Linked DNA regions of Saccharomyces cerevisiae S288C. Changing the gene in region 1 together with any one later gene gives a genetic interaction. Each region holds a gene or a part of one and is shown in the gene's direction. Other genes may lie near its edges.

The links.
Region 2: mutations in TPO5 (region 1) and MAL33 together harm fitness more than expected from each alone (negative genetic interaction), as found in Saccharomyces cerevisiae (one large-scale study listed by BioGRID).
Region 3: mutations in TPO5 (region 1) and YHB1 together harm fitness more than expected from each alone (negative genetic interaction), as found in Saccharomyces cerevisiae (one large-scale study listed by BioGRID).
Region 4: mutations in TPO5 (region 1) and TDA11 together harm fitness more than expected from each alone (negative genetic interaction), as found in Saccharomyces cerevisiae (one large-scale study listed by BioGRID).

What each region holds. Positions count from the first base shown.
Region 1 is NC_001143.9:117,397-125,811, reverse strand, and holds TPO5 (Tpo5p), read left to right. Parts: upstream 1-3,575; coding exon 3,576-5,432; downstream 5,433-8,415. Other genes in the region: EBP2 (Ebp2p), read right to left, coding at 1-53; U5 snRNP GTPase SNU114, read right to left, coding at 269-3,295; Zn(2+) transporter ZRT3, read right to left, coding at 5,508-7,019; LST4 (Lst4p), read left to right, coding at 7,826-8,415. UniProt on the Saccharomyces cerevisiae protein: Required for polyamine transport. Transports putrescine effectively and spermidine less effectively.
Region 2 is NC_001134.8:796,279-804,262, forward strand, and holds MAL33 (transcription factor MAL33), read left to right. Parts: upstream 1-4,244; coding exon 4,245-5,651; downstream 5,652-7,984. Other genes in the region: cation-transporting P-type ATPase PCA1, read left to right, coding at 1-221; PHO89 (Pho89p), read right to left, coding at 520-2,244; TYC1 (Tyc1p), read right to left, coding at 3,845-3,964; MAL31 (maltose permease), read right to left, coding at 6,353-7,984. UniProt on the Saccharomyces cerevisiae protein: Regulates the coordinate transcription of structural MAL3S (maltase) and MAL3T (maltose permease) genes.
Region 3 is NC_001139.9:953,893-961,603, forward strand, and holds YHB1 (flavohemoglobin), read left to right. Parts: upstream 1-6,011; coding exon 6,012-7,211; downstream 7,212-7,711. Other genes in the region: NAS6 (Nas6p), read left to right, coding at 68-754; PHO81 (Pho81p), read right to left, coding at 782-4,318; MIC26 (Mic26p), read right to left, coding at 7,468-7,711. UniProt on the Saccharomyces cerevisiae protein: Is involved in NO detoxification in an aerobic process, termed nitric oxide dioxygenase (NOD) reaction that utilizes O(2) and NAD(P)H to convert NO to nitrate, which protects the fungus from various noxious nitrogen compounds.
Region 4 is NC_001140.6:413,527-421,648, forward strand, and holds TDA11 (Tda11p), read left to right. Parts: upstream 1-4,022; coding exon 4,023-5,537; downstream 5,538-8,122. Other genes in the region: KEL1 (Kel1p), read right to left, coding at 159-3,653; PEX18 (Pex18p), read right to left, coding at 5,695-6,546; YAP1801 (Yap1801p), read right to left, coding at 6,847-8,122.

The sequences.
Region 1 (8,415 bases):
TCAATTTCCTTTTGATGCGAAAGCAACTCCTTCAACTTGAAACCTTTAGCCATTCTCTATATACCGTTGTTCAACTAACTGTGCTTTGTTACCGTTTAACTTTTTAACAGCGTAAAATTCTATAAAGCTCATCTCATCTGTATTTAGGCAGAAATAAAAAATTTTCAGTCCCGATGAGTAGTTATATCACTAAATACGAAGTCATATGTAAATTCTGCTGAATAAAAATATTGTGGACATATTGCTTAATTCTTATGCGCCAAGATTTTCACGGTACTAAGCCATTTTCTCTTAATTGAGCGTATAATTCAGCGCTTATATACTTTTCAAGCGTAGGACCATCATTTGACATAAATCCACCTGTAGAAATACCCTTCCGCCTTCTTGTTTTCATCACGAAATCACGACTTAAACTGTTGATAGGTGCGGGTTTCAATTTTGGAATAAACGCATCTTTATCCAAAACATCACCAGGAACCTTCCTCCATATCTTGTGCCAAAAGTACAGCTGACACATACCAAGACCATTCGTAGATAATCTCAAATCTGTCTCGAATCCTGCAGATTCAATAACCGGAACTTGTCCACGAACCTCCAACAATGGTGTCCCTGCCACTTTTATTGTTTTGTATATCCTGCTTCCACGTCTCTTCTTCATAAGTTCCTCTACTATTGGCAGCAAGGGGGCGTGGACCGTGATGTCAACTTCATAGATGGGTTCCAATAAAATTGGGATTGCTGTCAGTAAGCCAACGTAACAGGCTTTTTTCATTAGCGGAATAATTTGACTTTTCATAACGTCAATGTTTACGTCGGAAGGTACTGAGATCGATAACAATTTATACTGTACACCATAAATTGGTTCTTCTGCCAAAGGCCCCTCTTTTACAGCCCAGTAAAATCCTTGTATTATTTGTTCCTTATATTTGGATAATAATTCAGGACTGATTTCATCTGGCAAAGTGTCATTAATCAACACGTTGCCATTATAAAAAGACCAAACGTTTCTTGATGCCAACGAATCCCACCCATACTCGGTTCTCAATATTTTGGATAGTTTCCTTGGGTTGTCCATTATTCCGTCAATATCCAAGCAGTTTTGACCCTTTCCCAATGTGTTCCTGCTCAAATCCTGAATCATTTTAGAGTCCATTGGTTCAGCGGCTACACTAATCGACAGACCTGGTAAATTTTCCTCACCAAGGCGAGATATCGAATTACTTACAGGTATTGAAGCGAACGATTCATTTGAGCAACTTTCAGAAAAAACAGTTAAAGGATCAGATATTTTAATTTCTATCTTTGCATAACTCGCTCTTAGATCATACAACAAACAGTCCATATACAGCTCTCCATTTCCTAGTATTACATGTTCTCCAGATTCCTCAACTTTAATAATAACGCCTGGGTAGTATTTCGAAATTTTGTTCAGGGCATCCAATAACTTGGGTAATTCCCTTGGCAGTAAAGGTTGAAGAACAATTTTGAAAACTGCCTCGGTAATATAATCTAAAGGTTTGAAAAATTTTAGCTGTTTCATGTCCTCCTTACTCTTTACAGAGTACAACGTCGCGGATTTAATATATGCACTTGAAATACCTTTTATTAATACTATCTGTCCTTTGTGTGCTTCATGAACCGGATAGACATATCTGCCACCTAATAAGCCAATTTCTTCGACCTCACATGAAGGCGTTTCGTCATCTTCATCTTCATCTTCGTTGGAGGTTTCCGTCTTTGAGATATCATGCAACTGTCTTTTTTGGCGAGATTCAGATTGTGATGTATCAAGTATACGTACTGTATCCCCTCTCTTCAAAAGTCCAGAGTATATCCGTACAAGGGACCACTCTGCTCCACCGTAATCCACAGTTTTCAGTACATGAGCCCAAAGAGTGCCTTCTGGTGTAGATTTTCCTGGAATTGAAAGATGAGCTGTCTTATTGTCGAATAATTCAAATGGTTGATAACATCTGGTTATCGCATCTACAAGACCGGTTTGTTGCCTAAATATTAACTGTAGAACGTGTTTTAAAAAAGGTTGCGGATCGTACTGGAGGGCCTCTTGACTTAAATTAACTCTAAAGTTAGACCTTAACAAATTCTTTAATTTATCTTTCTCCATAGATAAAGCGTAGGAAAATATTTTATAAAGCGGGATGAGGATAAATTCAACGAAAGTCGGGTACTTCTCTACATTTTCAAATGGTTTTGTCCTGAAATTACCTTTATGGTAATATACGCTACCCCATAGCCTTGTGGTAAAGTCGTCTATCTTAGAAGAAGGTATGGAGTGGGCGTAATAATAAGAAACAAATTCCTTGATAGTGAATGTGAAGCCCAGCTTTGTAGACGCAAATATTATGTTATTGTCTATTGGTGAAAACACGTTTCCCTTCGTAAAGGAATTGATATTTGCAATTATATGATTTAACTTCAAGTATGCGTCCATTGGTGGCAACTTTAAATCTAGAATCAATCTGTCGAGTTTATTTATAACAAAACACATTGCTACATTATTTTTAATACTTTGTTTTATCAATTGCTCTACCACAAATGTAACACCTTCTACAACATCTATCACGATTAAAACCAAATCACTTGCTGCAAGTGCGACTGCCGTTTCATCCATAAAATTAACATGCCCTGGTGCATCCAAAAAGTTTATCATTCTAGACTTGGATTCTAAATCGGTGCAGAGTAGAGTGGAACCATTAAGTTTAATGGAAAGACCCCGGTCAATCTCTTGTTTCAAATTATCCAGGTATCTTAGCGGTTTCCATCCAAGTTCTACATTCTTAGACATATCTGGTATGCGTTTGTGTGAGTCGATTACTAGGAGATCCATCAAAGAGGTCTTACCTGAGTGAAGAGGTCCAATGACACCAACATTTATTATCCTCTCCGGAATGTTAGCCATTGATAACATATAGTCTCGATTATATCTAGTCTTCGGAATGTTTTTTTTTAATTGTGTAAAAATTGTATGCTCTTGCAACTTTGTTCGTTCTGTAACCGGCTCTACCAGTGGAGTCTGTGGTGACTGTGTGTTCTTAGTTTCCATTAATACTTCCACTTCCTTACCATAAGGGTGCTCTAAGGAAATTCCAAGTTCCTTTTTACTTCCTAACGAGGTAAGTTGTCTGCTCTCAATCTCATTGTTGTTGCCGCTCCCCTCAAACGTATTGGTTTGATATTGTTCTTGCTCATCCAGCACACTTTCTTCTTCATCCGAGTCAAAAGGATCAACTCCGATCAAATTTCCAAACTCATCGAATAAATCGTCACCTTCCATTTTGCTATGTTAGGAGCTATTGTGTATCGCTTCTGTAAAAGCAGCTAGCAATCGTCAGCCGTTGGCAAGTAATGCCCCAAAGCCTTGTTTTCTGCCACTTTGAAATTTTTCAGGCCTTTCCGGCATTAAAATTTCCGCAATGAGGCTTTAACAATCATTAATCATCCCATAAGGATAAGCCAAAAGAACAGATCATCAATTTGACGAAGAACATACCAGTCCGTGTATTTGTTTGCCATTGTACAATAAAATAAATAAAAATAAGTCAAATAAATGAAAAATGCCAGAGTATACGCTACTGGCTGATAATATAAGGGAGAATATCGTTCATTTCGATCCGAATGGTTTGTTTGATAACTTGCACACCATTGTTCATGAAGATGACAGTCAAGAGAACGAGGAGGCCGAGCATTTCAATTATGATCAGGTGTTGGATAAATCGTTATTGTCAAGAGGTTCTATTGTCGGTCTCGGTTTAGGACTAATGAGTCCCGTTTTAGGAATGTGCACTAGTATGGCCATTGGGCTAATTAATGGTGGTCCGTTAACTATAATGCTAGGTTTTTTAATCAGTGGAGTGTGTATATGGTTTTCGTCGCTTTCTCTTGGTGAGATTGTTTCAAAATTTCCGATGGAACTGCATGTTGGGAGTGCCATGTTGGCCCCGGAGAAATTGAAATTAGTATGTTCGTGGTACACTGGCTGGTTAATGCTCATAGGGAATTGGACTATGAGTACCAGTATTACTTTTGCAGGCGCTCAACTTACCATTTCTTTGATTCTGATGACGAACTCCAACCTAATATCCGAGGCACACTTGATTTTTTACACAGTCATTGTATTTTACTTAGTTGTGACTGTTGTAGGCCTCGTGAATTTGAAATTTGCAAGATTTATTGAAACAATAAACAAAGTCTGTGTTTATTGGATCATATATGCCATTATATTTATTGATATTCTTCTACTAGTATTCCACAAAGGTAAATTTCGATCTTTGAAGTACGCGCTATTTCACTTTGATAATAATCTATCAGGGTATAAAAGCGCATTTCTTTCCTTCATCATTGGATTCCAACAGTCTAATTTCACGTTACAAGGTTTCAGTATGTTACCTGCTTTAGCTGACGAAGTCAAAGTTCCTGAGAAGGATATTCCACGTGGTATGTCGAATGCGGTATTGTTATCCGCGTTCTCTGGAGTCATTTTTCTTATACCAATAATGTTAATCCTGCCAGATAATGATTTGCTTTTTACCAATCATAAGGTTCTACCAATAGTGAACATTTTTACAAAATCGACTGATTCGGTGGTCTTGTCTTTTTTTTTAGTGCTCCTAATTTTAGGAAACTTACTGTTTTCCGGAATTGGCTCGATTACTACATCTTCTCGTGCGGTATATAGTTTTAGTCGTGACCAGGCTATACCATACTACGATAAATGGACCTACGTCGAACCGGATTCTCAGTCAAAAGTCCCCAAGAATTCTGTTGTATTGAGTATGATAATATCATACTTTTTAGGTCTGCTAGCTTTGATTTCAACGGCCGCATTTAATGCTTTTATAGGCGCTGCAGTGCTCTGTCTTTGTTCTGCGACTTTCATTCCGTTAGTCTTGGTGCTGTTTACGAGAAGAAGAGCTATCCGAAGCGCGCCAGTAAAAATCAGGTATAAGTTTGGTTGGTTCATCAACATTGTTTCTATTGTGTGGCTCTTGTTATCTATGGTTTCTGTTTGCCTACCAACGCAAGTGCCTGTAACTTTCAAAACAATGAATTATGCTTTAATGGTGTACGTATTCTGCATTTTAGTTATCACTGGTCTTTATTTCAAATGGGGGAAGTATAATTTTAGATTACCCTTGGCAGATGACATCAAGGCTCCAATTCCCAGTGATGCGGAAGAAACTGTTTTTGAACTAGAGGATAGCAATGTTGAACATACTCTAAACTCGGGAACCACAGTGAAAGAGTCTGTAGAAAATAATTCTGAAGAAGGTTTCATCAAGGTGCATCCTAAAAGTAGTACAGAAAATCCCTTTGAGGAAAATGAGGAAAACGTGATAACCGATTATGGTGATGAGCACCATACAGCAGAACAAGAATTTGATCTTGCCGATGATCGTAGATATGATATATGATATATGATCGTGATTATACACCGTTATTTAATGGGAAAAGACTTATATAGAAAGAATATACGTAGTTTTAATTTATCAAGTGAAAAGGGCACTCGCTAGAATTAGCAAAACGCCAGTGCAGCACCATTTCAAGCAAGTTGTGCCTGAGCTATGGGACTGTTTCATTTCTTCATCACCTTCTCCTTGATGATGATGATGTCCATCGCTAAATCCGATACCAGTTTGGAACATTTGTAAACCAATTACTAATAGGAACCCTGCAGTAACGCTCAGTAAAAAATCCATGTTGGGTTCGTGATCCCTTGGAGTACTACCTTTAAAGATGAAATAACCTATCAATGCACCTAATGGTTGAGATCCACCACCGAGAACGGCAGTAATCAAAATGGCAACCCATTTAGATTCGAAAACAGTGTAGAATGGTAACGTCATTGCAAATCCTTCGACAAAATTATGGATCGTCAAACTTAAAAAAATGGAAAATCCCAAGGACTTTGACGAATCTGACCTGTTAGTGTAAAAAATAATAAACCCTTCGGGAAATTTGTGTAATGCAAGGACTAGACAAGTTTGCATACCAATAGACAGTAATTTGGAAAAAGGGGTCTCTAAGTGATGATGGTGGGGGTATAATGAACCATTTTCGGGATGGTATTGTGTGTCTGCCAATGCGGCCGGATTCTCAGTTACATCATTTCCCAAAGGTGACGAAAAAGAGTGCGACAACTGGTTGGAACCATAATTTTCGGGCGATTCAGAGGAATGATGATGGCGGCTCGAAAGAAAATTCTTACGGTACAACGATAGGTTTTCAAGATCGTAACCGATATTATTTTCCACGCATACAAGGCCACGATGATCCTTGTCATCGGATTGTCCATTATCTTCTGATCCCTCGCATCCATGTGGCACGTTTCTTTCACTTTGAGAAGACTTTATCACTGGTGGGACACATGCAATATATTCTGGCTGCTCTGATTGCAAGAGCGGAGTGCACTTGTTTAGGTCACAACACTCGCCTTCTGATTTCCTTCTGGTTAATAAGTCAATTAGGGACATTTTCTTTTTCATTTGGGGTCTATCGCTATCCTTTGTAATCAACGGGTCATTTTCAGAAACACTGGAAGAAGATGTTGCATAACCATGCTCAGAGGGAGCATTTTCTAAATCATGATCGTTGCTAAAATTCGAATGCGAATCCGCATGTGAGTGTGAGTGCGAATGCGAATGTGATTTGGAGTGTATATGTGAACCTGTAGCATGGTCACCGCTATCAGCACAGTGTACCAACGATTCGCTGGCGAAAGCGTGGACTAGGTAGTTTAAGAAAAAACTGAGGCAAATACCCAAAAGCAATCCAGGAAAAACCTTGAACCGGTTTGATTTTTCGATCCGAGGCAATAGCATGTATAGTGAAGTAGTGATCATAGATCCGGCACTTAGAGAAAGACCATAGTTGACCAACTTAGATTGGCTATTGCGCTTGCTATCGAAGGCAACCGATAACAACGGCACACACAGGGCCCCAAGTATGCACAGCACCGACGATATAAGAGAAAACAACAACCACCTGGGAATTTTTTCCATTTTCTTGCGTTTCTTCACTGTGATGCTTGTGAGAATATTAGGATATACCAACGTGCAACTCTGAAATGTCAAAACGGTCGTGTATAAATAAATGATATACCAGTAGGTGAAATCATCTCATTTGTCTTTCTAAAAAAGTCCATTACCCTTAAGGTTGTTGTCACAACCCACGGAGCAGTTTTAGAGGTGCAAAATTGAAAGAATGGCCACATTTTGAGCAATTCATCGACAACAAGAGCTTATGATTAACTTGGGTTGTGGGCAATTGGGTGTACTATGAAGCAGCCAATACCTGTTTTACAACAGTATTCTCAGTTTCAGCTTAGAGATGTGTCAAATCGAAGGCTAGTGTGGTGCACGGAGTTTATGGCACATTGGTAAGTAATCATTGCAACTTTTTTTTATTTGAGGAATATAGTAAGAGAGAAGCTTTAGTGATGGTCAAAGAAGAGAGGAATACAAGTGAGTTGTATCTAGGATTTTTTATTACGTGAGTGTTGTTTTACTTTAGTCGGTAGGAATCATTGTTATTTTTGTCTGTTTGTTTGTCTCTATTTTTGGGTACACGTGCGTGTTTCTTCTAGTGGATGGTTTGAACGAAGCAGGTTCTCAGGATTGATTGATTGATCTGCTTTAGTGTGTAACGTTCTGCGACTAGCTTTCGTTGCTACCGATATATAAAGAAAAAAAGGAGAGCGTGTGTTTGGAGCGTCTTAAACCCCATTGGTGAGAGCCTCCAGTACCATTTGCCTGTTAAAACTGTCTTGTGTGTGGCCTTGTAGAGAAGGTGAAGAGGGAGAGTTTATATGTTGGGTAATTTACTGAGAAATAAGACGAGTTCGTCTGGTTTTGAGAAGAGCTCAGAGCATTCCGATTTTTCCTCCGTAGTTCCCAATGTCCCTGTATACTGCAAAGCGGCAAGCACAGGAACTACTAAGACCGCTGCTGGAGCTCTTTTAGATACTGCAGTCAATGTGGAAAAGCCTTCGGAAATGCTATCAACGACTTCTCCGCCCATTTTAGATCATATATCGGATGACTTAAAACTGAAGCTTTTCGGCTCGAGGGATATTCCTTATAGTCGTCCTATCGATACGTTACAAAACAACGGAGGTCTTGGTACTGATAAAATCACGTCTATTAACGAAAAAACGTATGCATTCAGGATTTTGATCATTGAGGAAGCGGGTCAAATGGCGTGTAGGAACAACTACCGTGATATCTTCGATTACACTACGTCAAAGATTTCAAATTCGATGGAGCAGATACGGCCGAGTGAATTGAAGGAATATATATTTGGTTCTCCCGTAAGATCTTCCGATTTGACGCAGTGCGACAAGATAAGGACGATTCCTAACTCGGATTTGGTACTCATAACTAGAATTTTCTATTACAC
Region 2 (7,984 bases), on another chromosome or scaffold:
TCAACAATATTTTGACTATGATAACTGTAAGTCAAAAGGCCATGTTTAGGGTCAAATTGAATTTCTTATGGAGTTTTACTTACAACTTATTTGCTATCCTTTTGGCGGCTGGTGCCTTTGTTGACTTTCATATTCCACCAGAGTATGCGGGTTTAGGGGAACTAGTTAGTATCCTCCCTGTAATTTTTGTAGCTATACTTCTGCGTTATGCAAAGATTTAGTCCAGGTACTGCTGCTATTTGATTGTAGATTTTCTTTTTTCTTTTCTTTTTTTTTTTTGACGACTCTGTAATACTCTATTTATTATTTAGTTTAGTTTTCTATTTAATATGATGGAATTCATAAAAAAAAAAAATACACATAGCCATGCCAGGTAATTGCAGATCAACTGATAAATTAGAAAAAAATTAATGCATCTTTAAGGTTTTAAATTAGAAATGTTTTAACTTTAAAGTCACTGAGCAATAAAAGTTCTACCTAATGTTGTAAAACTGTATTCATAACCGAAACACATTATGATTATGTCATTTGGTATTCCACACCAAAGCGAGGAGCATTCAAAATGATACCATTTATGATACCGGCAATCAAACCAGCAATTGGTAAAGTTAAAAACCAACCAGAATAACACCAGGCTACCATTCTCCAATTAACTGATTTGAGATCCTTGTTACATAAACCAACAGCGACAATACCACCAACGGCGATCTGGGTTGTTGAGGTAGGAATACCTAATTGGGTAGCCATGACAGTAGTAATAGCAACAGCTAGTTCAATTGAAAAGCCTCTTGATGGCGACTGCAAAATCATCTTATTACCTAGATTTTTGATAATATTGTAACCATAAGTCCAGCAACCAATAACTAAGGCAACACCACCATAAGCCAGAACCCACACGGGAACTTCGGACTTTGCCCCAATAGTGTTAGTTTTCCAGATCACATACACAGCAGACAAAGGACCAGTAGCGTTGGCAACGTCATTAGCTCCATGAGCAAAAGACATAGTGGCTGCAGTAATGGCTTGGAGAACCGAATAGATATATTCTACTCTATTGTCGTAAAATTTAGATCTTTCGTACATTCCTTTCAGGTCACCAGATAACATATCTCTATCATTAACTTGAGCATGAATGACGTCTTGAGTCCAACCATGAGAGATTACTAACCAGAACAATAAGGGCCATTTTTTAGGTCCTTGCTTTAATAATGACCACCAATATTGTTTCGTTGACAACTTTGTTTCTGGTTCAGTTTCAGTTCTAACCAGGTCCACTTCCTGGATGTCTTCTTTGTTTTTGACGGAATCATTAGAATTACTCGCTGCCTTATTTTCTTCGTCTTCAACAGAAACAGTTGTTCCAAGATTTCTTCTGCCCTCGTAATAATCGATTGTTAATTGATGGCCTTCTGGCATTGGTGGGATATCATCAGTGGACTTAAAGTAAAAAGATGGACCTCTGAAAATATCAATCAACTTTAGTGTCCAATCTTGGTCCAAAACTTTTCTTCTGTAGAATGGGTAGAAAAAGATGAAGTAAACGATCGAAGCAATTGCACCTGTGAGAACAATAGATACGGCAGTTTCAGTTTCAGATAAATCGTCCAAGTGTAGGTTTGGAGAACCCTTCCAGACAATCAACATTGTTAAGATAGAGAAAGTGGCGAATACTAAAACACCAACCAGCAGTAAAGCATTCTTAATCGATCTTTCCAAAGACTTAACTTCAAGGACAGAAAACCTAGAAATTGAAAAAACTATAGCTGCGATCGCGCCTGCCAAAATCGGAGCAATGAACCATGACGCAATAATTTGAGAAACACCACTCCAACCCCAAACGACACCGTTAGCTCCACCGGCTGCAATCCCAGCGCCAATTGTACCACCAACAATGGAATGTGTAGTAGAAACTGGCATTCCGATTGCAGTAGCAAATGTTAACCAACAAGACGAGCCAATCAAAGCACTGGTCATAGTAAGCATTAAAACAGCGGGGTCGTTGGTAAAAATGGAGGAATCTATAATGTTGTTCTTGATAGTACCAGAAACTCTTGCGCCTGCCAAGACAGCACCCAAGAACTCACAGAGACCCGCCAAAACCATGGCTTGCCAGTATTTTAGAGATCTAGAAGAGATCGACGACGCGAATGAGTTCGCCACGTCGTTTGCCCCGATGTTAAAGGCATCCAAAAATGCAAATAACATGGCAATGGCAAAAATATAGTCAAATTGATGTAAAGCCATTTTTGCTTAATCTTTGTTTATATTGATTCGATTAGATACGCTCCAGTATTCTCACCTTTGATCTATGTCACTCATTCTATGACAATTCATGTAAAATAACCTCAATGTAAAGATCATCTTCAGCAGGTTTATATATAATTTTCTTCATATCGAAAACCGGGCTTAGTGACATGAATTGTTTGGAGATGTCCACCCAGTAGACATTGTAAAAAAAATCTGCTATTGACTGAGTTAATCTAATGATTTACATAATAGAAGGATCCAAAGTGGCTGTGACATCTAGTATTGATAGATTAGTATTATTACTATTTGTCTCCCACGTGCTGCATTGTCATATGCAATTTATTAAGATTACATAAACTCCTTTGTACGGTATATTCTTAAAGCCTTTCAATGACTCGGGCCAATTTTTAGCAATATTTCGACATTTAAGGGCCCACTAACAAATTAATGGCACAACGTGGGGATGACGAAAAAGCAGAAAAAGAAAAAAAAGGTCTATCGCACAGCCACACACCCTTGTGGTGAAGCCGTTTTGTGATCGGTGTGGCGCGATCTGTGAAATTTAAACTTTTTTGCGGGTGAAACCGAGATTTCTGAAACTAGATTTTCTGGCTTCGCCAAAGAAAGATGCATCGAATTAATGAAATTAAACGGATGTAAGGAATGAAATTATAACGATTCCGCTAATGTTCTTTACTGACGAGTGTCACTGAAGTACTTACTCGTGAACAAAAATTAACCTATATCAGTAATTTTGATATTGTTAAAAGTAGGTATCTCTATCAAAAGAGATTATAAGACCCATCGGCAAAACTCGAAATATCGTCTTGAGAAAATCATTATACAGTACATGGTGCAATTTTAAATGATTTTTAAATACTATTATATAATCGATACATTTAGTACACGCGAAGACAACGTAGTGTTGAGATTCAAAGAGGTTACAGTTGAATACGTGACAAAGCTGACGAGAGTACTGTGAATTCAACAAACCATAAATGGTCACTCCAAGTAACGGTATTGTGATTTCAACAGAAAACACAAGCATTGTGTTAGCGTGCTCGTAAAATATTATTTCAGCGGTGAAGCAGATATGCGTTAAAGGTGGGCTCGCTATTAAATCATGAACGAAAAAACAGTTATGTCGTTACTGGTGTGAGTCGATATTACGAAACCACTGGCAGGTAGATGGATAGAATGGGACTGATTGGAACAGCGCAAGTTTTTTTCCGTGGTCGGAATTCTCGTAGTAATATTGGAAAATAGTTGGAAGAAAAATTGTGTGAAAAAATACATGCTGAAATAGTCAAACGAAGAGAGGTGAAGAATAGATAAAGCTGTTGAGAGGCAAGACAATGTTTTCAAGATGATCAGAAAAGGATACGGTCCAATATCTATTTATATTCATTGCCCTACCGTGGTATGTTAAAAAAATATGTTACATTTATTGCTCCCATTGGATTTTGCACAGGTGTGAAAGAGCTCAGTTGTCAAGATTTAGTCATTAAGAAGGGCCGCAGCAGCTTTTTGTATAATAGAGCGTCTTTTTTGTTTGTGAAAAAAATTTTATGGTGAGATATTGTTCGATTCTACGAAGTCATTTTACTAGTTTATGGACTCTGATATAAGACAGAGTTGACAAGGAAATGGTGCCGTGATTGTTTCCGTGTACAGCTTTTGAGAACTTCCTTGAAAACCAATCATCTAGCACTTTCATTTCTGGGGAAAAACCTGGAACCAAATCTTGAAAAATAAATTCCCCAGAAGTTTTCCTTATTCCGTGTTCTAATCTTCTCGTTCACTTTGCAGTGACATTCCACGGCCATGCGCAATTTACCCCGCCCCCGGATTTTATTGTCCGTACCGCCATTTTTCAATAGATTAAAAAGGAACAAAAAATCATTTCAGAAGGTTTCTTTCTCGGGAAAACACTAGAGTGTAAATATTGAATATCAAACATCGAACGAGAGCATCTTGAAGATATTTATGTTCTAAATATGACTTTAGTCAAGTATGCATGCGACTATTGTCGTGTCCGTCGAGTAAAGTGTGATGGTAAAAAACCATGTAGTCGCTGTATTGAGCACAATTTCGATTGCACATATCAGCAACCATTAAAAAAAAGAGGCTCAAAGCCTATTGGAACTAGAAGCTTAAAGTATATACCAAAGGCCAAAATGTTTATAGATAATAAAAGTTGTACGGCAGCGGCAGAAATATTAATGAAGGTTCCTAAAAAGGTGATTGATCAGTGTTTGAGGCTTTATCACGACAATCTATATGTTATCTGGCCTTTACTCTCTTATGATGACCTTCACAAGCTTTTGGACGAAGAATACAATGACCATTACGTTTATTGGTTTCTCGTAGCTCTTTCAGCAGCCAATCTTAGCGATCTACAAAGCGAATTAGAATCTGAGGGGGGATTTTCGTTTACTGGAAAACAATTAGCCGTTCTCTGTATGTCCTCACGCCAACAATTTGATGACCTTAGCGGCAGAGACATTTTCCGAATTATGACATATTATTGCTTGCTACGTTGTTTTTCACAGTCTTCTGATGTAAGAAATTCATACAGACTTTGTCGTGAAGCTATTGGCCTTGTTATTGTAGCAGGGTTACATCGTGAAAAAGCATACGAATCACTATCATTTCGTGAGCAACAGCTTTTACGCAAGGTGTATTATTTGCTTCTCTTGACGGAAAGATACTATTCCGTATATGTTCATTGTGTTACAAGTTTGGATACCACAATAGCTCCACCTCAGCCAGAGTTCGTAACGGACCCTCGACTTTCTTTGGATAGCTTTTTTGAGATGATTAGAGTATTTACTGTACCAGGTAAATGCTTTTTTGATGCTTTGGCTACGGAGTCTACTAGCGGTTCTTGCACTGAAGACTCACTGAAAAAAATATGGAAAGAGCTTCACACAGCATCCCTTGAAATAGAACCATGGTCTTATGGCTATGTGGACATTTCATTTTCTCGACATTGGATTAGGGCGCTGGCTTGGAAGCTAGTGTTTCAGATGAATGGTACCAAGTTTTTCTCAAACGCCAATAATGCTCACATATTGGTCGAAATTGCAAAGGATATGCTGGACGACATATTCTTAACTCCAAACAACCTGTATGATGTACATGGTCCTGGAATACCAATGAAATCATTGGAAGTAGCCAATGCATTGGTAGATATCGTAAATAAGTATGATCACAATATGAAGTTGGAGGCTTGGAATATTTTGTGCGATGTATCCAAGTTCGTTTTCTCCCTGAAACATTGCAATCATAAAATGTTTCAAAGGTTTTCAACTAAATGTCAGAGTGCTCTAATCGATTTGCCTATCTCTAGACCACTGCGCCTAAATGATGATTCCAAAGATGAAGACGACATAATTCCTTAATTTATTGTTCACGCCGTTCACTTATACGAGATAGATATACTGATAGAGTGTGAGTGATATTCTTAAGTCTTGCTTTTCGAGGGTGTAAGAAGCTATGTTCTTCAGGCGAGATTATTCTACTCCTGCCTTACTTGTTTGTAATATTTAGTTCTGATGGTCATGATAATTCTATATACAGTTACATTAAGTATATACTTAAGCGGGCAGCTTACTAATATAAATTTTGTGGCATTTTTGTTGGGATATGAGAATCATGTATCGTTGATTTACAAAGCGAATTTACGTTACCAGGAATAGGGAATACTCTCTTGAATTCTAACATAAGCACAGAAATGCTGAAAGAATACGTCAAAAAGTAAATTTACAGAATTAAAAAAAAAATAATTGTTGCCGGAACATGAATAGAGTGTATCAATATACAATATAAAAATTCAAGCATTTTCATTAACGGGAATGAAAAAATTGTATATTAGTACTTCTTTTTGCAAGATATTTAAATCTAGGACCCTCATCACAATGATTCATTTAAATCATTAACGTTTTTTCAGAACAAAATAATAACCTCTAGTTGAAAAAACTTCAAAGCCGCAACAAAACCAAAAAAAAGTCATAATGTCGAGTAAAAATAAACTCGATGTGTTAAGTACTAGTTATATAAAATAAAATTAAATAACGCCGTATCTACCTACTGGCTAAAAAAATCATTTGTTCACAACAGATGAGGTGTTTCGCCCTTCATCTACCACAGAAGTTTCCAAATCTTCCTTCGGATCTTTAACATTAATTTCTGCAGCTGCTGCTTTGGCAGCTGCAAAAGGGTCGACTTTAGTCGACTTGAACTTTCTTGCTGGAACACCAAGTCTAAACAATTCATTTATCTCAATAAAAGTCCTGCCAGCGGTTTCTGGTAAATCGACAACAGCCCAAGCTAAAGTGGCCAGACAAAATCCTCCCCAGAAAAAGCCTGATTTAGCACCCCAATTCCATTTCTCTGAGTTCAATTGGTACATGATCAAAACTGTAACTACAACTTGGATCACATTGTAAGCATTACGAGCCAAAATAATTGTTTTGGTTCTTAGCCTTGAAGACGGTATTTCAGACACTAAGCAAAAAACAACAGGTGCAATACCGAGGTTGTAAAAGAACGCGACAACCATTAGAAGAGCACCACTACCCATTTTAGCGCCATGAGTGTCTGAACATCCTAAACCACCGATAATGAAGAACATAATAGCCTGAAAAGCCAGCCCAAAAGCATAAAGGTCAAATCTGCCACAATATTTTGAAGCCCACCAGGATATAAACGTTGCAGCAATACCAAGACAATATTGGATAATACTGAAAGTAAAAGCCGTATCAGTGCTAACACCAGCTTTTTCATAAAAGTAAGTTGAATAACCAATTAATGATGCACCACAGGAGCATTGACCGATCCAACATAAACAAGCTATTCTCGTTCTTCTCCTGTTAATACCATCTTTCACACAATCCCAGTAAGTTCCTTCATCAGACATTTTCTGCTCCTTTTCTATAGTAGTTTTGATTTTATCGAGTTCCATACTCACTAGTAATTCTTTCTCGGGTCCTTTACCACTTAATGTTCTTTCAAGTGATCTCCTCGCTTGATCAATCCTTCCTTTTTTAACCAGCCACCATGGAGACTCTGGTGCAAAAAAAATACCTACCGCCAAAGGAAGGGGCCAGATCCACTGCAAAGCAAAAGGTAGCTTATATCCTAGTTCTGAGTTGGCATATTTGTTCTGGGAATTTTTCATAATACCAGCAGCGAAAAGTTGACCGAACGCCCAACATAAATTAGAATAAGTCGTCAAATAGTATCTTAGGGCCAAAGGACAAATTTCAGAAGCATAAGAAACGGTCAAACATTGGAAACAACCCCATGGCATACCACACAATGCCTGTCCCACGGCAATCATACCCAAACTCTTGCAAAAATACAGAATGAAAATGAAAGCCGCTAAAAAGAACAACGCCATGATCAGAGTGTAACGGTTGCCCATGTAATCTACAGAAGGCCCAGTCATTTGCAAACCGACAATCTCACCTGCCATGTAGCATAGACATAGACCGATTTGCCAGGAAACTGAAATTTCATAATCTCCTGTATTGCTATTCAAAGAACCATATTTTTTTTGAAAAACAGGCAGGGCATAGAAAGCTCCTAGAATGGCTGTGTCATAACCCTCTTGAATCAATGTTGTGGAAACTAATAGTGACCAAGCAGCAGCTTTTGGATATGTCTTCAAAGCTGTCATGAGTGGCATTCCCCTCTCACTTTCATCTGCCTCTTTGGCGTCCTGCATAGCTTC
Region 3 (7,711 bases), on another chromosome or scaffold:
AAGAACGATCAGCTGAAGCTGTGATAATAAATGCTACATAAATGCATGCCCTTAAAACTGTATAACCATGTCTAATTATCCTTTGCATCAAGCCTGCATGGAAAATGAGTTTTTCAAGGTACAAGAGCTGCTACACTCCAAACCTTCCTTGTTGCTACAGAAGGACCAGGATGGCAGAATCCCTTTACACTGGTCAGTTTCTTTCCAAGCACATGAAATTACCAGTTTTTTGCTTTCTAAAATGGAAAATGTTAACTTAGATGATTATCCAGATGATTCTGGATGGACACCTTTCCATATTGCTTGTTCAGTGGGGAATTTGGAGGTGGTAAAGTCTCTTTACGACAGACCTCTAAAGCCTGATCTAAATAAGATAACCAATCAAGGAGTTACATGCTTGCACTTGGCAGTTGGTAAGAAATGGTTTGAAGTATCCCAATTTTTAATTGAAAATGGTGCGTCCGTAAGAATTAAAGATAAATTTAATCAAATTCCATTGCATAGAGCTGCGTCGGTGGGTTCTTTGAAATTAATTGAACTATTATGCGGTTTGGGCAAAAGCGCTGTAAATTGGCAGGATAAGCAGGGTTGGACCCCACTATTTCATGCTTTGGCTGAAGGGCACGGTGACGCAGCTGTATTGTTGGTGGAAAAGTATGGTGCAGAATATGATCTTGTAGATAATAAAGGCGCTAAGGCAGAAGATGTTGCCCTTAATGAACAGGTTAAAAAGTTTTTCCTAAATAATGTATAAGATTTCAAAACTACATATTACAGAACTTTACATATCAATATTATTCTCAAAAAGCAACTCACAAGCGTAGTAGATCCCGCTGTAACCTCCATCAGCTGGTATTTGGTCATTTTCCCCGACCGATGCAATCAACAGTAGTCCGTTTTGTTTGATGATCCTAGCCAACGACGGGCATATCTTCAGTACTTCATATGGAAGCGTTACACCTAACAAATTATTGTTCATAGCAAATTGAACCATTGTATGTATGTTTATTAGTTCCGTGTTTAAATACGACATTTTTTGAGGATTTACGGCCAGTTCCTTTAAACAATTAGGAGTATCACCTACAAATTTGCCTGTGGTTGAATCTCTGAGTAGATTTTTCATTTGCAACAAAACCGGAAAATTGGGTTGTTTCCAGTTAAGGATCGAGCAAGCTTCCCAATTGCATGAACTGAAAACTATTTGGCGCATACTCCCACTTCCGCTGTGACGCAAAAAACGTTCATGCTCGAAAATGATTAGTAAAAGCTTATCAATGAATTGATTGATATTTATAAATGGCGATATTTTGATGGGAATTGTGTCAATTTCCTTATCTGTAGGAAAATATACACGAATTACCAGCTGGGCTGACCCGGGAATAACTTCTAGTAGGCTTCTGAGAGGCACCACTCTCGAAGATAAGTATTGTTTCAATGTTACTTCATCGAAGCTTCCATCAATTTTACCGAAGTCATAATCCACTACCTTTTCCAATTGTTCTTTCGTTAAATCATTTAACAGAATCTTCGTGCCTTTGAATTCAACGTATGGTTTTGGCGCAGCCACTATGGTTTCATCATTCAGAGCGCAAACTAATACACTAATAAAACTGCCATTCAACGATGAAGAAGTAACAAAATTACCGTCTTTACTAGAGGTCATTAAATCACTTCCTGTAGATTTCCAATACGGCTCATAATTTATGATTTTCAGTGGATTTCCCGGATAAGGAAAAATAATTTGGTAATCCAAAGTGAGAGATCCAATATTATTTAGTCTTGTGTCGAATAAGGGTAAATTCATGGTTGCAATACTATTTATTGCCACCTTCTTGAAAAGGAATGGCATTGCCGTTGTTTTGGCAATTATCCTTGTGCCAAATGAAGGAAATATCTCGAAATCCATTGAAAAATCGTCGATTGAATCTACTTGGAAAATTATCTCTCCATCATCATGATCTTCACTAATTTCATCATCATCTTCTTCATCATTTGTTTCACTGATATCCTTACAAAAGTTATTAATTTCGCCAGATCTAACAGGTAAAATAACATTTCGCGGTATTATTTCAGGTAAGTTTGAGGATAAAGTAATTCTGCCTGGTGATGATGACATAATAATGCCGTTATCCTGAGTCAACTTGATAGACTCGAGACCTGGCCTCAACTTTAATTTGATGAAAATTTTTTTCTCCAAAAAATTATGACCATATTTCCTTAGTGGAATGATTGGCGGTGGTAAAGCAAAATCCGGAATGCTATCTTGAATGTCTAAATCAAATTTGTCATCATTTGGGGTTAAATCTATTGTATTAAGGCGTTGCGTACTAGACTGCGAATTTATTTCATTCAGGGGTGCAGATGGCAAATTTAATGGTCTTTGTAAAAGTGCATTCAAAACATCAACGTGGCTCTCCCATAAGGCGTAAAAAAGTGGCGAATGGCCGTTGTCATCTTCAATATCCAGACGTGCATTATGTTTCAATAGTTCAGTAATAACTTCAGAATGACCTGAACGAACAGCGTAAAAAATGGGCGTCCATTTATTAAACCCATCAATTTCGTTGGGATCCGCCCCATAACGTATCAATAGTTGAATTAATTGTGGATCGCCGCCAATTTTTGCCACTATATGAAGAGTGCATAAACCTGTTGAGTTCTTTTTGAAAAGCGGTTGACACAAGTGTTGTGAACTTTTGTTCTTGGCATTATCAGCATTTTGCTTACTCCGAATTTCTAAAAGTAACTTGGCGGCGTCATGATTATTAAATTTACAAGCAACATTTAAAGGATCGAACTGGACTTTAGTAGAGCTGATTACATTCTTACTATAATCCAGAATTGGCTTTTCAATGGGTGATGCGTTCGCACCACCAATAGTCAGCAGATCCCTAACAACATCTATGTGGTTGTTAGTGATAGCCAAAACCAAGGGTGTCTTAGAATCACTATCAATGGGATCAACGTCCTCTAAAAGATTGGTGATTAGCAACGAGTGAACAAATTCCAGTTTTCCTAGCTCTGCAGCATAATGTAGCGGCACCCGCGAATGTATATCTTGGGCATTCAGTAGTTTTTGTACTGTTTCTTTAGATAACTTTGATGTTGTTAAAGCCTCATCTAGAATAAATAAGCGTGATTTTTCTGGACAACTTGCAGCCTCGTGAAATACGTTTTTTCGTGAAAATACTTGATCATCTTCGTCACAATATGACAGATCAATATGATCCTGATTGCTTTTATAGAAAATATGCAGAGAGTTATCGTCCAAAGGACTAGCCACCAGTAATAAAAACAGCGTCGTTAAGCACTCCTTCAACAAAGAAAAGACATTTTTATGAAAAGATTCTGAGGAATTTTGTAGCAGATATGTGAATATCTTGGTTTCTCTGAAGTTTCTTAGTAGTGCATGCTTTCTTTGAACATCTTTCACCGTGGCTATATTCAAAATTTCCTTATACCAGTTTTCGATTTCCATCTCCATGTCCAAGGAGGAGGAAGATGCTTGAAAAAGATGTTCAAGTTGGTTTTCCGAAATCTTTGATGTTGTTAATTCATAATTATTGTGTAATATGTTATTATTATTGTTGTTGTTGTTGTTGTTATTATTATTGTTATTATTATTATTGTGTTTATTATTGTTGCTGGTATTATTGTCGTCATCATCGTCATTAGTAAACGTACTGGATTGTATGTCTGCCCTTCTATTGTTGTTGTCAATATCATTCAGCTCTAAGAGAATATGTAAAGTTTCATCGTTTAATTTTAGTGGCCCATCTCTGGTAAAAATTGGTTGAATGGAAACAACAGTAGCAAGGTAAAAATCTTTATCGTGAGATTGAGATCTCTTGTCCCATTTCTTCAGAGCTTTTGAAAATCCCGTTTTATTTAACTCAACATACTGCTCCAAATTTCTAAGATCCTTTTGAAACTTTTTGAAAGCCGCATATAAGTTTTTAAATGAGGTAGCTTGGTTTGAGTTTAGCTTACCATTTATCTTATAATCTTTATATTTTGAGTGTAATATATTGAATTTTATTCTTAAATCGGACTCTCTCGCCAAATAATAACCATTTACTTTTTCCAGCTCCCTCTCTAGTTTAAAAAAAAAGGCAGCTTTATTTTCTTGCAGTCTCTGATGTATAATTTTTTCGTCGATGTCATCTAATGTTAAATGCAAATCTAAATCTGAACTAGCCTTTAGCGTGGGAATGGCCAATTGTTTGATAAGTTTCTTTAGAGCCTTATAATCAATAAAATGGCTGTTGTACTCCGCCAGTTCCAACTGCCTGGCTTCCAAATACTTGCCGAATTTCATTGCACGTTTATCTATCTATGTTGCCTCCAAAGGGTTATTCTCTCAAAAAGCTCAATCACTGTGGAACCGAAAAATAATGTTATGAAGATTTTTTGAGCAGTATGTCTTGTCAAAAGCTCAACTAGTGCAGCTGATGTTGCTTAAAAAAATAAAAACCAAATTTTTCTACTTTGCTCTTGTACGTTGCACAAAGAAGATTATGTAACAAACTTGAAGGGACTCTCAAAAACTTGCTATAAATTGTACAAAAGCCTCAATATCACCTAGTAGTGGTTCTATACCTGTCTCGAGCCATCGCCAAATAGTTGATAAATTTGATTAATTTCTGCCCTTATTCGCACGTGCCATAACACCTGTACCTCTCACGCTAAAGACCTTTATAATCAAGGAAACTTGTTGCTGCAGAGGAAATAGGAGGTAATGAATTGTGATAAGGCACATCACATCAATTTTTCTTGCATTCTTGCATAGAAAGATAGGCTGATGCAATTAGCGCGTTTCAATCGCGTGCCAAAGACGTATATACTAAGCAATATAACCGAATTGATTAAGTAGTTGGTTAATTGTATATTTTGTGATAAAGATGGTTAACTGACTTAGGCGGACATAATAGTAGAAAATCTATATAATTTTTCCCATGCAGTTGTTATTACAAAATGCAATTCTTGAGATAGCACAAGCAAGAATAATAGGGCACGGTACGTTCATTCACGTAGCGTTAGCTAGTGCTGCCACAAGGTAAACGTACGATTATATTCATTTTTGAAACGGAAGTTCTTTGTAACCCTCATGCTCGTTTGATAGTCACTTAACTACAAGATATTCTCGTTCAGTGATTGCTTGCTTATAAATCAGGAAACTTCATTTTTATTCCTTACATTTTCGAAAAGCCCGCAAGGTTTTCTTCGCCACGCTCAAGCATTCATCGTTGAAAAGCAAAACTGTGCACACTGTACCTTAGGCGACTCTTCTCCGAACAAGCTCATGGCTCATTTTTAAAATCACAAGCTTCGTATAATTGCCAAGACATAATCTAATTGAGAAGGTCAGACGGCAAAACAAATGACCGAAATCTTCGTTTATTGGTTCGCCTGCGTTGCCAACTGGTACATTTTCCCAGAGTACCAGCAAAGGAAGGCATCCTTGATGCCTACTCTGATACTGTGGAGGATTTAAACTGAAAATGATAGTCTGCGCGGCAAATCTTTCTATTTCTACTAAAGTTGGATCCTCCGGCCGATATAACGTATTCTTTTTATCCAATAATGTCAATTTTAAATGCTCGATTACTAATCGTTACTAAAATAGCGGACGCGCTTATGCGTCTTCGACGGATAGTTTTCAGATCATCCCTCTCAGAAAGCAATGCAGGAACCGCCTGTAAAACTATCTTTTGCTGGCACTCACACATTATGGTATTGATGCCACCTGAAAATACGGAAATTAACCATTCCTTGTACGGAGATCTAAGAGCAACTATTATTGAATTGTTGCCGTTAAAGTTTCATTTCAGTTCCGTGTGTGGTCAAGTACAAGACTACTGATGAAATATGTTGTACACACACGGAAATATATATATATATATATATATAACAATATTGTGGGTTGAGGTGGAGACTTGATTTTTCTTATACAGTATATTCTTGTTCATTTTTTACCATTTTCAACAAACCACACAAAGACTTTATTCATTATGCTAGCCGAAAAAACCCGTTCCATAATCAAAGCAACCGTTCCTGTTTTGGAACAGCAGGGCACTGTCATCACGCGTACATTCTACAAAAATATGCTTACTGAACACACCGAATTACTTAATATTTTTAACAGAACTAATCAAAAGGTTGGCGCACAACCAAATGCCTTGGCCACTACTGTTTTGGCAGCGGCTAAGAACATTGACGATTTGTCTGTGCTTATGGACCATGTCAAGCAAATTGGCCACAAGCATCGTGCCTTGCAAATTAAACCTGAGCATTATCCAATCGTTGGTGAGTACTTGTTAAAAGCAATCAAGGAAGTTTTAGGCGATGCTGCGACTCCAGAGATAATTAATGCATGGGGCGAGGCTTACCAAGCAATTGCTGACATCTTCATCACTGTTGAAAAAAAAATGTACGAAGAAGCTTTATGGCCAGGTTGGAAACCATTTGACATTACTGCCAAAGAGTACGTTGCTTCAGATATTGTTGAATTTACTGTTAAGCCAAAGTTCGGTTCTGGTATTGAATTGGAAAGCTTGCCAATCACTCCAGGTCAGTATATTACGGTAAACACTCACCCAATTAGACAGGAAAACCAATACGACGCTTTAAGACACTACTCTCTTTGTTCTGCTTCAACTAAAAATGGTTTACGATTTGCAGTAAAGATGGAAGCTGCCAGAGAAAATTTTCCTGCAGGATTAGTCTCTGAATATTTACACAAGGACGCTAAAGTTGGTGATGAAATTAAGCTTAGTGCTCCGGCTGGTGATTTCGCAATAAATAAAGAGTTGATACACCAAAACGAAGTTCCATTGGTGTTACTATCGTCTGGTGTTGGTGTTACACCACTTTTAGCTATGTTAGAAGAACAAGTCAAATGCAACCCAAATAGGCCAATTTACTGGATTCAATCTTCCTATGATGAAAAGACTCAAGCATTCAAAAAACATGTAGATGAACTATTAGCTGAATGTGCGAATGTCGACAAAATAATTGTTCATACTGATACTGAACCACTGATTAATGCTGCATTCTTGAAGGAAAAGTCACCTGCGCATGCCGATGTCTACACTTGCGGCTCTTTAGCTTTTATGCAAGCTATGATTGGTCATCTAAAAGAACTAGAGCATCGTGATGATATGATTCACTATGAACCATTTGGTCCAAAGATGTCAACCGTGCAAGTTTAGGCGTTAAGCCTCGGAAACTTCAATTTTATTACTGATTCATTTGATAATTTCACTTGTTCGATTTCACAGTTTGAGAAGTTATATTACGAAATAAGAAAAATTTTTAAAACATGAGACCATTGCTAATCTTTTGTTGTTATACTGTGTTAGAAATCCTCGTGAAATCCTTGTGAAATCCTATGTGGAATATTTAGATAGTAAGTAAAGATTGTGTATGTATTTATAAGATGAATAAGCGCCAGGTGCTAAACAGAGTTCACTTCACGTTAACGCCAGTCCAATTTTTGATTGCATTCCCTGTTTTTTCTACATCTTTGTTCAACCATTTTTTGGCATCATAGTAGTATTGCACAGACGCGGTACTTAATCTCTTTGTTTCTTTCCAAACACGATCTTGTCTTTCGGTAAAGTGTGGAAAGGTGTTCATTTCTAGATTATGGATGAGACCCATGGTGTTCCTGAAGGTTGTTGGCATTGCATACGCAAAACAACAAGACCCC
Region 4 (8,122 bases), on another chromosome or scaffold:
GATATATAAATTTTTGTCAAGAGTACAGTTATTATTATATTATATCATTATTATAATTGTTATGATTACTATTAATATTATTAATGTTTATTATCAATGTTTATTATTATTATTGTTATTACACATGAAAAGTGAAATTTCATTACGCATATTGTCTTTTATAGTAGATCGCTGTCAGCATCTTCATTAACTTGTTTGGTGTTATTTTCCAAATTCAATAATCTCTTTTTCAACTCTAACACTTCACTTTTCAAGTCATCTCTTTCTTGATTAGTGATGAAGAGTTCCGCTTTCAGATCATTTATTTTGATGTTGAATTGATTTTCTCTTATGCTGTTGCTATTTTTTACATTATTGGAACTCTCCTCGGTGCTTCTGAGACCATTTTCGAAATTTTCACTGCAGACGCCATTTTTGAACTTCAATTCATCTAACTCGTCGATTAACTTTTTATTCAAACTCTTGTACTTCTCTAGCTCTCTTTGTGAAACCATTAGTGCCTTACTTGCACTGTCCATAGAACTGATACTTTCTTTGTAATCATTCTGTATTTTTTTGATTTCATTCTCTTTTACTAATACATCTTGACTTAATGAGCTGTGTTCCATCTTTAAAGCATGGTATTCAGAAGATAGTTTTTCTTTAGATATTGTTAGCTCTTGACTTCTCTCCAGCAAATCGTCCAATCTATTCGTTAGTTTGTTAATCACTACACGGTGGTGACGACTTTGATCACCATAGGGTTCACCGACAGTTTTCTCGCCATTTTCATCCGATACAGATATCAAAGAAGAAGAAGATTCAAGAAACGAAGAGTTGGCTCTGTTTTCTTTCCAATGACTGATCAATGAGCCTAACTGTGACGAGTAATTCGCAACATTATTGATTATATCTTCGTTATGTTGTTTGCTTTCATTTTTCAACCTTTCATTTTCTCTACTCAAATTCTCATGTTCTATCTGTAGTTCTTCAAGTTTTTCTTTGTAATTAGGCTCTAGTTCTAAGGATTTAATTTTTTCGTTCTGAAATTGTATAACTTCATTTAGATTCTCTATGTCTAAGAATTTGCTATTCACCAACTCTTCTAGCTCATTAACTTTATCTTCCAAGGAATGATTATCTGCCTCTAGTATTTCACATTTTGATTGCAGTCTGACGGAATCCAATTCATCTATTTCTTTCGTTGTCCCAGAATTCTTCTGGGATTTTAACTGCCATAGCTCCGTCTCTAATTCCTTTATGTGAGCTCCGGCTTCAAGCGCCTTTTCGTGCGTCAATTCTTTCAAACTTTGCAATTCCGATCTTAATTTCTCAAATAGTGCCCTATCTACGACTTCGGTAGTAGCATCTCTATTTATAGGAACGCTAGCTTCTTCATTTTTCGTATCAGTTGGAACGTCTCCCATTGGGGACACGTTTTTTTCATCACTTGCATCAATAACATGGTTAGCACTATCATGGCCCGCGGTGTCGCTTTTCTTTATTGTAATATCCACAGGCTCGGACAGTTTGTCGATCTCCGTATTATTCTGTGATAATTCTGAAGATTCATTATAATGCTTTATTTTGAACTGATCTTTGGATGGGGAGCTCGCCATTTGAGCCACACCGATTTCGTCGTCTTCGTCAGCAACATTGCCGTCCTCTTCAACCTTGGACATCGAAGATGTGCCTAGTTTGTCCCCGTTTATCTCTTGGTCGAAGGTCGTCGTGGAATCTATTTTTTCATCAGCGTCAGGAAGATGTTTTATTTCCTCTATATTACCATTTTGGGGCGTTTTTATCTCATTACTTGGAAGCGTCTCTAATATTGGGGAGTTATTCTTTATTTGGTTTGCAGGGGTGAGATTATCTCCATAGATTGAAGATGGGATGCGCTGATTTCCAACTGTTGGATCCATAGTTTCAGAAAGATCAGGTTCTTTCTGGATAGTAGGCGTATCAAATGGTTTGTTGGAAGTTATTTTCATAACCGGCGTTTGTGAGCTTTCAGATGGAACATATGGAGTCAAAATGTTAGGCTCAGCAATCAAGTGAGATTCAGAATTTACTGGGTGGCTCTGATTTTGGTGTTCTGTTGACACATTTCGATTGTGTACCTCCCTGTTGAGGCGATCAGCATCTGAAAAATCTTTTGGTGCAGGTGATGGAGCGGAAGCTAGAGGAGCTGCTGAAATTGGTACGTTCATATTTTTAGTTTGATGAGAGGTTGGGGTAACGGGCGTCGCCAGGTCAAGATTACCATTTCTCGGAGTTGGCGTATCAGTTGGAACATCCATTACGCCTGGACAAAGGTCCTTTATGCGGGCCAAGTCTAGCGTATAAACAATTGTACCTCTTTGCATATCAATATCAGAGGTATGCAAGTCGTACTCCTCGACTCTAGCGTAATCAAATTTATCTCCTCCCATAATCAAAATTTTATCATTTTTTAATAATGTTAAAGAATGCCCAGAACGGCCTTGCGGAATTCCAGCCGTAAATACAGGTAATTTAAACCATTTACGCGATTTCAAGTTTAGGAAATACACGGAGTTCAAATAAGCATCATGCTCATCTTTCCCGCCTACAACACACATCAGATCGTTGTAGACTACAGTAGCATGTTCTTGAACTGGAGGAGGCTTTTCACCCGTGGTATCAATGATAAACCAATCATTTATTGCAGGGTCGTACATAAACACATCATTTACTAAACCTTGTAAGGTATCGCCACCAAATACCCATAGTTTAGAATCGTATGATATCATAGTAAAATTGGTAATAGGTGGTGGTGTAAAGGTCCTTGGTTTCAAAAATTCCCAATGAGAGTCCGGTCTTCTAAAAGAAGATAAGTCGTAAACAGCCAAGTCGTTGAAGTAGGTGTCATCAAATTGACCACCAAACACGTACAGTTTTGTTTTCATTTGAGTTGTGGCGATAATCGAAATTTTATGACCGTACCTTCCCAATGGACGTGGTCCCACGGGTGCCGGGACTGTCCATTTATAGGAATTAATATTCAAAAGGTATATGTCATCGTCCATCAAACCTTCCTTATTGACTTTGTGTGTGTCACCGCCAAATACAACAAAGGCATTCCCGCATAATACAGCAGCGTGGCCTACCCTTGGTGGTGGTGTAGCTTCACTTATGTCTATCGTTGTAGTGGAAAATCTGGTGGCATTATCGAAGGCCGTTAATATCCATGTATCGCCGTACACAGATTGGTCATGAAGTCCCCCAATAACATATATCTGGTTCTTGTCTGTAACATATGCTGAAGCAACATGTCTATAACGTGGAAAAGGAGAATTCTGTAACTTGATTCTATTCCATACGGTATATTCTCTCTGTTTTGAAAGCTGCTTATGGAGAGTAGTGGACGGTCCTGAGACATTTCGCTGTTGCGGTGGTACTGCGCTCGGTTGAATCCTTGATTCGGATACCTGTTTTCTGGCAAACATAGGTGGTGAACTAGTTTTATTAACATTAGAATGGTAACCTTGTGAAAATTGACGCCCTTTCTGAGGCGTTTCTTGTTTTGTGAAAAATTTTTCATTTGGAGGAGTTGACAGTGAAGCTTCTCTAGATTGGTCAGAGATAGAAGCATCAGAAGGCGTCTTTCCATGTTTCTTGTGAGTGAATTTCTTGGCGAAGCTGAATCCAGCCATGTTTGAGTTATTTTCTAGGTGCAAATTGAAGCAAACGGGCTCTAACTTTTCCTGAAAAATTACTGTGAATTTGTTAATAAGTGTAAGTATCACAAATCAAGCAAAACAATTACTTTATAGAACGAGCCCTGTTGCTTTTCTATATCTTATTGTTTCGTATTTTAAAGGAATGCTTGCTTGTAGTTTACTATCAACAACCGCGTCGCCAAGTCCCCAGAAGACGTGCCGCGTGATTCCAAAGGTGATGAAGGGTACAAGTTGTAAAGTTCAATATAATAGGTAAGGAAAAAGGCCAATACTAACTGTGCTTTTCTCAATTACCACTACATGGATCCGAGGATAATTAAATCTATCTCCTAGGGCACTGATATGAATAAATTTGACGAGTTTATAGAGTCTAATGAGAAGGATTTGGATGTGGACACCAGTACCCGAAATAGTATAATTTCGATGTCACCTGTGAGGAAAACTGGACGAAAGATTCGTTCTGCTAGTTCCAATGGATATAGGCTAGAACACCATCGTACGTCCAGTGCGGGAAGCATGCATTCGCAAAGACTAATGACGCCTACCAGATTAAATGACCAGGACCATCCCTTACAAGCCAAGCCAGATGCTAGGAGGGTGGTAACTCGTCATTCTTCTGTCTCAGTTCCAAATGCAATGAGCAAGAGAAGATCACTTATTCAACCCATGGTTGTTCCCACTACACCAGAATCTCAAAACAACTTACCTTCAGTAAGTCATTCTGAGGGATCCTATGGAATCCCATTAGAGTCAACCACTGTACTTTCTAGTGAGCAAGCGATGGCCAGCGGACTTCGACGGTCTAGAAATGGGAGTTCGCAGTCGGTTAATAGTATGATAGCGACCACCATACCAACAAATGGGGTCGATGTAAGTGCGCTTCTACAATCTCTCGCTACAAAAGAGTTAGAACTTCTGGAATGCAAACAAAAGATTGAAGATTTGAAAAAGCAAACCCAGCATGAAGAGCAAAACTATACTCGTCGGGCACGTGAACTGCATGAACTCAAGGAGCAAGTGAGTAAACATTTGGATCCCTCTCTAAATACACCTGTTAAAAACCGGGCTTTTTCACCGGTTTACCAGAATATACCTTTGGAATCACGAACTGAAAATGCTGGTAACAGCAGCCTTCCTAGTTCTGTCAGTAAACCAAAGAACATGGGTCATCAAAGTACTAATCAGTCAAGATCTGTGTCTCCGCAAGATATTCAAGAAAGGCGCCAAAGGGACGACTCGTCAGATTCATCCAAACAGTCACTTTGGAGCAAACCATTAGCTCTGTTTAATCAGTTTGATAAAATCATTCAGCATGAAATTGAAAGAACTCTGAATTGGGATGACTCTCTTTCAGGTACGCCTGAGGTACAGGAAGGGACACCGACTAGTAATAGCGAGTCGTCCGCGCAACAGTACGATAATGAAGCACCTGGAGCTCGCCAAAAATCTCCTTCGCAAGGATCAGTCTCCAGGTCGCTTTGGAGCTTTGTTAGCGATGTCAAGGCCGGATTACTCGGTATAGAAGAAGAAAACGATAATGATGTTATTACTGATAACAGATGTGATCCTGTATATAAAAGCGATAGACAGCATGAACAGAAAAAAAGTACACATAAAATTACGAACCGGGGGCAAGCAGAAGATAGTGGCGACGATTCTAGTTTAAACATGAGGAAATTTAAAACGACAACTAAGTTCCAGAAAGACAATGCTGGGAATAATAGTCTCACAGATGAAAGTGGACATCGAACACGAGAAAAAAAAAGTAAAAGAAGTAGTAACAAGCTAAGTTTTATTGGAGAACCCGATAATGATAATTCCTCCGTCAAAAACTCAGTTGAAATGACAGACTTCTAATTCCTTTTTCAAAATGACGTTTATTCTTCACTTGTCACTCTTTTTACGTATAGCTGTGAACGCAGTATGTAATTTAATACTGTTTTCTCTTGAAAGTGGTTAAAAAGTGTTATATATCTGAAATTCATGGTTTAAATTAAAGAAATTTCAAGGCCCGTTAAGCAATTCTGTCTTCAACATCATGGAACTCAAGACCAGCCCAGTTTCCTGAATTCTGAAAACAAAAACCTACGTGTTTTTGAAGGTTTCTTTCTGTACCGTTATCCTTCTTTAAAACTATAGAACCATCACTAATGCTGCCCATCAGCCCCATAAACTTTGAACTGTTTAGTCTTTCTTTTACATCTTTATTGGCACTATTATTATCGCAAAACTCAATTATATCGGAAGCCAAACCTTTCATGGCAGTTTCTTCATCTTCCAGACTCGTACCTGAATTTTCCTCTTCTGTATGGACATCTTCTTCCAAACTACTGGCTTCCAGTTCCGAAAATTCAGCATTAATTAAAGAATCAATGTGGCTGTTGATAGGATGTTCTAAACCTGTTGTCTTGAATATCTGATGGTCAACCACAGGGAAGGAAGCAATGTTAAAGTTTTTCTGTGAATAAAAGCCTAAGGGAAAATCTGTCTGAGATGTCCGTAGCCCGTTGTTTATATTAAGATTCGCGATTTGATTTTCGATGGGCGGTTCAACATTCTTAGGGAAGTTATATCTAAAATCCTTGGCCCAAGAAGTTTCATTGTCATTTAGATTTGGCGCTTCAAATTTGTAACTTTGATCCTCTAAGGTTCTAGGACGAATATTTACGTAGGACCGTGATTGATTCAAATCTTCTGAGTGTTGTAGAAATTTCAGCTCAATTTTATCCTTCAGAATCGGTGGTGAATTCAGTCTGCTCCCGATTTTGTTAAAAGAGAGCGTATTGTCCCTGCCCGTAAAAGGCCCCTTTTCTGTACTACTAATAAATTTATTCACCTCATTCGTTTGGCATCGGTTACTATTCATTGTTTGTATTTTATATCATTTGTCCATTGAAGTTTAGACAAGTATCAAATACCCAGTTTTCGTCTTTTCCCTTATATAGGTCGTCTCGGAAATAACAATATAAACTCCATGGTGCGGCGCTATCGAAATCTTTTGTTGGCGGGAGGAATTGAAGACAGTAAGATGTAAGTATTACATACTATAGGACAAATGCAAAATATGTACAAAATGGCAAAAATTACATAGCTCTTCCTTACAACTATATATAGCTATCCAAAGATGCACTTGAGTACTCCCTTACATACCTGATTATACTAGATATTACATATCAATTAAATTGAGGTTGTTAGCATATTGGTTTCCTAAAACTGGTTGCTGTGTTTGAGACTGTTCCGGTTGTGGTTGCTGTTGTGGATAGAAAGGGAAATTTTGAGGTTGAACTGTCCCAGTTATATTTGTAACAGGGTTGGCTCCTGCAGTTGCAGGCACATAATAACCCTGTTGTGGTTGCTGTTGTTGCTGTTGCTGTTGTTGCTGTTGCTGTTGTTGCTGTTGTTGGAGATGATTCTGAGTGTAGTGAGCCTGAAATTCCATTTTATCAAAACGCTGAGGAATATTCATCGATCCCTGCATGCTAGTAGGGGTTGTCATAACGCTATTGATCGAGCTCAAAGGCATTTTTTGTTGTTGAAATTGTTGTTGATTGTACGTTTGGTTTTGAAAAGGGTTACTTATTATCTGTTGTTGTAGCGGCATATTGGTATTTTGTTCATCAAAGTTTGGTCGTGAAAATGGGTTATTTAAGACATTTTCGTGTGCAGGATTCCCTGTTGCGATCGTCGCGGCGTTGTGCAATGCGAACGGGTTGTTAGAACCAGTTTGTGAATGAGAGACTTGTTGATTAGAAGCGGCAGTTGTATCCTGTGAAACGGAGTATCCTCCAAACCCTGCACCTGTAAATGTGGGTGTTAAATGGTTGTTAATCGAATAGTACCCCGTTTGTTGGGCACTTACGCCAGCATCTTGTACAGGGTTGAAGTTCACTGTGTGTTGGACCGCTGCATATTCAGGAACGTTTAAATTTGCGGGCTCTGTATGAGCGGTTGGTGTATTCATCACCTGTGGCTGAGTTTGAGATACAAATGGGTTATTTGCGATCTGTTGCGTTTGATTAGCCACAGCCATTGGAATGTTAGTATGCATAGAAGAGTCTGTTCCAAACGGGTTGTAAGATTGAGCCGCCGTGACAGTAGTTAGAGCAGGGGAAATCGCTACTTGTTCGTTTTTCAATTGTGCCTCTAGTATCCTTTTTTGTTCCCGGATTTGCTCCAACCTTTCCTGTGCAGTAGATTTGGCTACTACGGCCCCAGCACTTCCTTGAGAACTGTCAACGGGCACAAAAGTGTTGTGCGTCTTATCATCCTCTATCAGATGTTCTTCTAGCGATCTGACCAGTTTGGTAGTGATATGCTTGATGACGGGTATTTTCAAGCCCGCAGTCTTCCCGCTCTTCAAGTACCTGACAACGTGCTCGGTCAAATCAACAAACGTCTTGTACAGGTCTAGAGTTCTCTCTGCATTATGATGAGATAGTTCG